Linked DNA regions of Rattus norvegicus. Each later gene encodes a partner of the first gene's protein in a complex. Links are inferred from orthologs where the notes say so. Each region holds a gene or a part of one and is shown on either strand. Other genes may lie near its edges.

Region 1 (3,804 bases):
TTTTTTTGTTGTTGTTGTTTTGTGTGTATATCTGTTTACATTGTATGTGAGTATGCACATATATGTTTACATTGTGTGTGGATTTAGGTTTATGTGTTTATAGTGTGTATGTGAGTGTGTGTGTTTACAATGTGTATGTGAGTCTGTGTGTGTTTACAGTTTGTGTGAGCGTGTGTGTTTACAGTGTGTGAGTGTGTGTTTACAGTGTGTGAGTGTGTGTGTTTACAGTGTGTGTGTGCATGTGTGTGTTTACAGTGTGTGTGTGCATGTGTGTGTTTACAGTGTGTGTGTGCGTGTATGTGTGTTTACAGTGTGTGTGCGCGTGTGGGTGTGCTTACTGTGTATGTGTGTGTGTGTGCTTACTGTGTGTGTGTGTGTGTGTGCTTACTCTGTGTGTGTGTGTGTGTGTGTGTGTGTGTGTGTGTGTGTGTGTGCCGGTATCTGAACTGTGGTATCTGAAGCAGCACACACTTTTTTACCCACCAAGCCATCATCCCTGCCCCAGTTTAGAGGTTTTAATCTAAGATTGAATGATTCTCTTGCTCGGGTGTGTGGCATATTGTGGGGGCAGCACACAGCGGAACAAAATGCTTAAATCATGAACCAAAGAGCAAAGACAACAAGGAGAGAGAACCTCGTGGGGCCTTTCTTTCTCCCCTTGAGGGACACACTCCCGGTGACCATAAAGCCTCTCCCAGATCCCACCTCATAGATGCTTGGTCATCCTCCTGGTGTTATTAACCCTTTAAAACTTGAGGAATTAAAAATTTTAAGATCCACAGTGTAGCAGGCCATGTAGTCTCCCCTTCAGGGCCGTGCAGATCTCTGGGTAAGATGCTGTGGGCTTGTCTCTATGCTTTAGATGGTTGCCTGACCTCTGAGGGTACCAGGTTGAAAGGTGGTGACTGTGGCTTTTAGGTTGTCAAAGAAGGAGGCACAAGAGGGGAATTCCTGTCCTGCCCTAGACAGACAGGCTAGTCAGGGCAGACTTCCTGGAAGAGGAGGCAGAAGCACACTTGACCAGCCACACAGTTCGGGGCCTATTTGCTCGTTTGGGGCAATTTCGAAGAATCTGAGTATCAGGGACTGGGAAGGAGGGCAGGACAAGGGGTGCACCTGCCAGCTGCACACTGGTGTTACTGGGAGGCTCTGTGACCTAGGCAGCTTTTCCACACAAGGTGACGTGTGGAATCAGGAACATGTACACAGTTGCTTTGAGTTTTCTTCCTACCCTAAGACCCATGTTTTTCCAACGTGTTGTTAGTGTCTCTGGGAACTTGGTGTTGTGTGGGGACTGTCGTGCTATCCTAGCATTGCCTGGGTCAGACTGAACAGGAGGGCTTTGCCATAGGGAGAAATGTCCTTTTCCACAGGTCTAGGGTATAGTGATGGGGAGGTCTGACCAGGCAGGCCCTGAAGATCGCGGGATGTGTCCCATCTCTGTGTATCAAGTCATGAGGCATGCGCTAAGCTCCAAAGGTCGCCTCAGCCTTGGGCATATGCGATCGATTGGATTCACCAGCTCAGAGCTTGCTTGGTAGGGAGGAAGAGAGAGCACCTTGTCTTGAGCAGAGGGCTCACGACCTTTTGACCAAGATGGCTTTGGGGGACCGAGTACCCAACATGCATTTGGTTGCTCAGGTCTTCACCTGCCTTCCTACTCCAAAGGCAAACCCAAGAGCTCATAGGGAATGTGGGGTTCTGACCTAACCCTGCATCCCTGGAAGCCTGGGTCTGGTACCTCAGCATAGGCCCCAACAGAGAAGGGCCAGCGCTACTTGGGGAAGTGGTTGGTGGATGTCATAGTGCCTCGGTGTGGAGGGAGGCAAGGAGAACTAAAATTTCAGAACTGTGGAGTTTGCTGGGAGCTGGGCTTCAGACCTGGGCTCCTCCTGGTTCCGCTACTGATTTGCTCTGACTTTGGGCAAATGCCTTCACCTTTTCAGCCTCAGTTGCCCCATCTGTAGAATGGATAGAATTGGGCTAAAGGCAGAATGGCAAAGAGATTTCATTTTACTTGCCAAAACTAACTGCCAGCCTTTGATTTCTTGGGATCTTCTGGATCTGCCTGCTGCCCGCGAGTCTGGGGCTGGAGGTTCCTGAATGTGCTCTGCAGGTGTGCAGACCCAGGCCTACTGTCCCCACTTTTCTCCTGGCACTGATGCTGTATGAGTCTCCTATCTCTCTGAGGTCCCCACTTTAACACCATCCGTTGTCAACTCCATGGCACGAGGCGTGCCGCCTTTCCTGAGGCAGGATTGTGTCTCTGTGTGGGACGCAAGTCGGCTCCCTGAGCATGTGCCTGAGAAAGTGCCATGGGTTCAGGGTAGCTCGGTGCCGTAGGTACTTTGATTTCTGTCAGAGGCATGCAGAGCTGCTGCTCTGTGACAGTTTTCCACGGTAACAGGCAGCTGGTGAATACTCTGTGAAAACGTCGGGCCCAAGGTGCCTCAGCAGGTGAAGATGCTTGCCACCAAGCCTGAGGACTTGAGTTCAGTCCCCAGGACCTGGTTGAAGGAAAGAACCAACTCCTACAAGTTGTCCTCTGACATCCACCCATGTGTCATGGTGCATGTATACATGTGCAAACGCATGCACACACGCACACTATAAATTTTTAAAATAATTATTTTATACCACAGCCCTGTGAAGCTGGTATTATCCCTTCCGTTTTACAGGCAAGGAACCCGAGGCCCAGAGAGTTAACAGAGCGGCCTTCTGAGACCAAGCCTGTGCACCTCTCGCCAGCTGCTCTCCTGGTCCCCAGTCCTGTCCCCAACCTTCTGTTCTTCTGGCTCCCCTGAAAAGCCCACGGCCTCCCGTTCTCTCGCCCCTCACAGGTTTCCATGTGATCCCCACCATCTCGAGCATCGTCCCGGAGAGCTGCCTGCTGATCGTAGTGGGGCTGCTGGTGGGGGGCCTGATCAAGGGCGTTGGAGAGACGCCCCCCTTCCTGCAGTCGGACGTCTTCTTCCTCTTCCTGCTGCCACCCATCATCCTGGACGCAGGCTACTTCCTGCCTCTGAGGCAGTTCACGGAGAACCTGGGCACCATCCTGATCTTTGCTGTGGTGGGCACGCTGTGGAATGCTTTCTTCCTGGGTGGCCTCCTGTACGCCGTGTGCCTGGTGGGCGGCGAGCAGATCAATAACATCGGCCTGCTGGACACCCTGCTGTTCGGTAGCATCATCTCCGCGGTGGACCCGGTGGCCGTGCTGGCCGTCTTCGAGGAGATCCACATCAATGAGCTGCTGCACATCCTGGTCTTTGGGGAGTCCCTGCTCAACGATGCCGTCACTGTGGTGAGGGGTCAGGGGCCACAGCACACGCACACGGGGGCAAGCGGTGCCTTATCCTTCCACTAATGATGATAAAGACGGCCAGTGTCCCCCATGCTTGCTGTGTGTTGGGCACTGCTCTGAGCACCGGGACATAGATTTTCTCTCCTAATCTTCAGGACAACCCAAGGAGAGACGAACTTTCTCACCTTACAGAACTAGAAACACCCCACAGAAGTTAGACAGCTTCCTAGAATGTGGTGGGGCCAAGATTGGAGGCAGTGTGCTTGGTTCATTCTGTGGCCCTCCAGGGCCTGAGCCACTGGCCTAGTAGGTCACTTGCTTCCTGACCAGCTTGCATTTGATACTGTGTTGCCCAGTTACTGGCCTTCTTCCCGCCTCAGTTCATAGCCCATTTAGTCTCTGAGGAGCCTTTTAGCTCTTATGTTGGCTGTTTAAGAATTTGGTCTGTGCAGGGTTCTGAGCAAAGGAAATGAAAGGGCTCTGTTCCCCAGACCTCTAGGATG
Region 2 (4,478 bases), on another chromosome or scaffold:
CAGAGAGGGTGTCGGATCTCATTACAGATGGTTGTGAGTCACCATGTGGTTGCTGGGGATTGAACTCAGGACCTCTGGAAGAGCAGTCAGTGTTCTTAACCGCCGAACCATCTCTCCAGCCCAAGTTTGTTCTTATACGGCCCCTAAATTTGTAAATTCTCCATGTTGAGCTCTAGCGTATTGGTCTGAGGTGTTACACTGACTACTTGATCTAGACAAAGGTTCTTCATGACTGGCCTTTGCTTCTTTATTTCTGTCTCAGTCCACCCTCTTGGGATGCTTACTTTCTGACAGAATGCTATGTGGATGTGCCACCAGTGAGGCGACTGTCTAGTATTTTAAGCCAGGTCACAGACTTCAGCTTGCGGGTGCTGGTACTGGTCAGAAGCCTAAGTGTTTACACACCTGTTGTTCTATCGGGCCCATAGGGCACACTGGGAGAGTGAACATGGATTGTATGGGCACCGTGGCAAAGAGCCTCTCGTTAGAGATAGCAGAACTGTCTAGGAATTTCCTCAACCCACTGTGCTGTGTCAGACCCACGGCCTTGGGTTTGTATTGGCAAGCAATCCGTTCCACTCAGCTGCAAAGTTAGCCCCAGAACTTCTGATTTCTGAGAGAATCCAGGAGTTTGGATTTGGGATAAATCTTACACTTCTGTTTGTTTTGAGATAAGGTCAAACAAGGAAGCCCAGGTTGGCTTAGGACTCATGTAGCTCAGAGTAGCCACCCACTCATGGCTAATTTCCTGCACCAGAGTCCTCAGTGCAGGTCTTACGAGGCTTTGTGGATCTTAAGAATTAGTTCAACCACACGATACTCGTACATAGATAAAACTTCGTGCCCTTGTGTAGCATAAGGAGAGAGTAGTCGGGATTCCTGTCTCTGCTGTCCCACTTAGTGGAGCCCGGACTTTCTCATCACCATTCCTCCTGCCCAGGGAGCCGAACACTCCCCCTGCCCCCTCTTCCGCTCCCTAGAAGAAAATCTTCATCCCGCCCAGCAGGACTTAAAACCGAGTGAGAGCACTGGGTGAGCAGATCTGGGAGGTCCCATGGAGGAGGTAGGCTTGTATCTAGGGAGTATTGAGCGAAAACTGGCTCGCATAGGCGTGAGGAAGGCGGGGCCCTGGCGTCGCTCAGCCGCTGGCGACCTCAATCTCCGGGCTGAAACGACCAGTTGTTCTTAGCCTTCCCCTCTGACCGGCTACCCCGGGCATTGTTTTCTGTTCTCCAGGATTGTAGGTGGCAGGCAAAAAACGCCTGGATTCTGGCTGCTCTCCAGGCCGGTGACCTTCGGCTCTGGGGCCACTGGGCAGCCGCGCCTTTGGACGGGAGGAGAGGAAGGAGAGGACGCCTGGTTCCTTTGGCTGTTCGTCTCCTTCTGTGGCTTTGCCATGGGCTCACGGAGCTCTCATGTCGCGCTCATTCCTGATGTGGACCAAATTCGCAGAGAGACGGGCTGTGAGTGTGAGGGTGGTGGTGGTGGTAGTGGTGGTGGTGGTGAGCGCAGCTCAGTAGTACGTGGGCGGGGACAGGAGGAGTTTTAGAGTAGTGAAGGGGGTCACCAGAATGTAGCTTGAGTATTCCAGATCCCAGAGACTTAGAGGGCTTAGAGTGTGAGTCTGGGAATTTGCGCCTCTGGAGCTGGAAAACCAAGAGCCCAGGTACTTAAGAGTCAAGTTTGAGGCAGTCCGGGTTGATGGACCAGATTCACTCAGGTGTCCTTGGGCTCGGATGGAGACTGAAGGCAGAGCTGAGGACGGATGCCTGGGCTCTGAGAACCTCCTGGGTTCTCCAACCTAGTATTTCCTTGAGTCAAGCTCCCTCCAGCCGAGTCGACTCCACACATGGTCATGCAAGGGTAACGACTCTCATCCCCATCCATCTGCCTCTTACTTATGGTTGAAGTCGCGCTGAGGATGGGGAGATAGATGACCCTGTTCCCTGTTATGTTGAAGGGTGTAGGGGGAGGTTAGAGATGGGACTAAACCCTCTTATTCTCATTTCCTGCCCACATCCCCTTGGGTCCCCTGCAGCGCACCCAAGGCACACGGGATCTGGCAGTAAGGACTTGCGAGTCCTCTGAGGGCTCATCCCCACCTCCTTCTCTCCGCAGTCTCCCAAGCTAGCCTGCTCCGTCTCTACCACAGGTTCCAAGCCCTAGACAGGGAGGAAAAGGGCTTCCTGAGGTGAGTAGAAGAGATCTAAGATCTTTTGCTTCTGCTTTTTCTGTCCCCACCCTCCTCACTGACACCGCCATCTGCCTCCTTTGCTTTCATTGTGCTGTCCTCACAGCCGCCTAGACCTCCAGCAGATTGGAGCCCTGGCTGTGAACCCCCTGGGTGACCGCATTATAGACAGCTTCTTCCCCAATGGGTGAGTGAGTGTCCACTGGCTGACCAGAGGGGAGATGGGTGTGGGTGGCAAAGCGATGCTACCGATGGTGGCAGTCTGGGTGACCATTGCCCTTCTCCATCCTTGTCCCTATAGGAGTCAGAGAGTGTATTTCGCAGGCTTTGCCAGAGTCCTGGCTTATTTTCGACCTATAGATGAAGACGATGCCACACTCCGAGACCCCAAGCAACCTGAACCCCTAAACAGCAGAATGAATAAACTGCGCTGTGAGTGTGTGAGACCTGCCCAAGTGAGGCCCTCCACATTTATCCATACCAGGAGAGACCCGGGAACCTCTAACTCCCCCTGTGGGCCTGGTGAGGACTTAATATCAGCTCAGGGAAACTCACTTCCTCTTCCCCTCTCTTTTCCCAGTTGCATTTCAGCTCTATGATCTGGATCGGGATGGGAAGATCTCCAGGAATGAAATGCTACAGGTCAGAAGACCATGGGTACATCAGATGTGATGTGGGCAGGGCAAGATGGTTAAATGGAGGCGTGTGTGTGTGTGTGTGTGTGTGTGTGTGTGTGTGTGTGTGTGTGTGTGATGACTGGGGTTGCAGTTGATTATGTGTTAGGTAAGATCTGGGATTGGATGGGGTTGGGGTTGGGTTAGTTAAGGACAAGGGGTGGGGAGTAAGTAGGTATGAGACTGGGAACAGAGTTCGGAATCCCAACATAGGCGTAATTCGGCTTCTCGCTAGTATATAAGATTCTTGGTTGTCATTACTGGGAAGAGATCACACACTTGCTGTTTATCTGGAAAGGGCCAGCAATACTTCTGTACACACCCAAACACCTAGACAGCCTTCCACATCAAGGAGTTATCTAGGTTCAAATGTCAGTAGTGCCAAGACTCTGGGACAGATGATAAAGTTAGGGTGGAGGGGAAGGTGTTGTTGAGTGGAGGATGGACGTTGATTGGGTTATAAGGTTTAGCTGCAGGTGAGCACTGTCGGAGTGTGAGATAGAATCATATGGAAGACTGGACAGTGGACAGCGATGCAGTGGCAGGCGTTTGCTATGGGCTACAGGGGAAATTGAGTCTGATGGTGAAGAGTGAGAAAATTTGGTTGTAACTTATGGGGTGAGGTTGGAGGGCTGGGGCTAAAGGAGCAGCTTCTGTGGCTCTTCTCCATGACTGCCTCTTCTCTCACCTCCCAGGTTCTCCGCCTCATGGTTGGGGTCCAGGTGACAGACGAGCAGTTGGAGAGCATCACAGACCGCACAGTGCAGGAAGCCGATGAAGATGGGGATGGGGCCGTGTCCTTCCTGGAGTTCGCCAAGGTTAGGAGGAGTTGAGATCAGGAGTCCCTAGGACAGCAAGGCATGGGAAATACAAGTCACTGGAGGATGGGAGAGACCTGGGGCATATTGGGGGATGCAAGGACTCCAAGGGAGGAGGTGAATGAGACACCTAGGTTGAGACTCAAGCCTCTTGACTTGACCACACCCATCTCTCCCCAGTCCTTAGAGAAGATGAACATCGAGCAGAAGATGAGCATCCGGATCCTGAAGTGACCCCTGTGTCTTTGACTCATGCAAACATTTATGGACTCGGGATTTATCCTCAGGCCTCTGGAAGCAGGAGCCCACAAGCCATATTCTACTCTGAAACTTTGTTTAAGGTTAGGAAAGGGAATTGGAGGAGCGTGTGCTGAAGTCTCATTTGCTCTCAGATTTGTGAATCAGCCAGTGATTTGGTTGCAAGTGGCTGAAAGGCCAACCCAAAGTGACAAGATAAAAAAGGGAAAAGGATGACATGGGCCTGTGACTAGACAGCCCGGAAGTAGTTGCCTTTATGCACACCTGGATCCAAGGACACGCATGGTGTCATCGGGATTGAGTTTTGTCACCTGGGGTTCTCAGGTTGGCTGCCTTCTTGCATTGGGATCATTCCTTTGGGTACGAAGAGCCGACAGCTGTCGAGACCACATCCTCTTAGCCCTCTAACCCAGAGGACGGGATGTCATACTCCAGAAATGCCAACCAAGCAGAACCATTGACCCAGCTGGGGGCTTTTCTCTATCTCAGGGAAGGGGTGAGGGGAGATGGAACATTTAAATAGGCTATGCCTGTGTC

The links.
Region 2: the proteins of Slc9a1 (region 1) and Chp2 are in contact, whole or in part, in a crystal structure (PDB 2BEC), measured with the Homo sapiens proteins. The link is inferred for Rattus norvegicus from reciprocal best matches to the Homo sapiens genes SLC9A1 and CHP2. Residues at the interface, in NP_003038.2 of Homo sapiens: Ser517, Ile518, Asn519, Glu520, Ile522, His523, Thr524, Gln525, Phe526, Leu527, Asp528, His529, Leu530, Leu531, Thr532, Gly533, Ile534, Glu535, Asp536, Ile537, Cys538, Gly539, His540; in NP_071380.1 of Homo sapiens: Arg30, Arg34, Leu38, Leu51, Ile54, Ala56, Leu57, Asn60, Pro61, Leu62, Ile66, Phe70, Phe83, Leu87, Phe90, Tyr118, Ala119, Leu122, Tyr123, Met136, Val139, Leu140, Met143, Ile156, Arg159, Thr160, Glu163, Ala164, Phe177, Ser180.

Annotation. Positions count from the first base shown.
Region 1 is NC_086023.1:150,898,146-150,901,949, forward strand, and holds part of Slc9a1 (sodium/hydrogen exchanger 1), read left to right. Parts: intron 1-2,840; coding exon 2,841-3,301; intron 3,302-3,804. UniProt on the Homo sapiens protein: Electroneutral Na(+) /H(+) antiporter that extrudes Na(+) in exchange for external protons driven by the inward sodium ion chemical gradient, protecting cells from acidification that occurs from metabolism.
Region 2 is NC_086019.1:186,198,851-186,203,328, forward strand, and holds the start of Chp2 (calcineurin B homologous protein 2), read left to right. Parts: upstream 1-1,396; coding exon 1,397-1,463; intron 1,464-2,118; coding exon 2,119-2,191; intron 2,192-2,297; coding exon 2,298-2,378; intron 2,379-2,492; coding exon 2,493-2,623; intron 2,624-2,771; coding exon 2,772-2,833; intron 2,834-3,560; coding exon 3,561-3,683; intron 3,684-3,863; coding exon 3,864-3,917; 3' UTR 3,918-4,478. UniProt on the Homo sapiens protein: Functions as an integral cofactor in cell pH regulation by controlling plasma membrane-type Na(+)/H(+) exchange activity.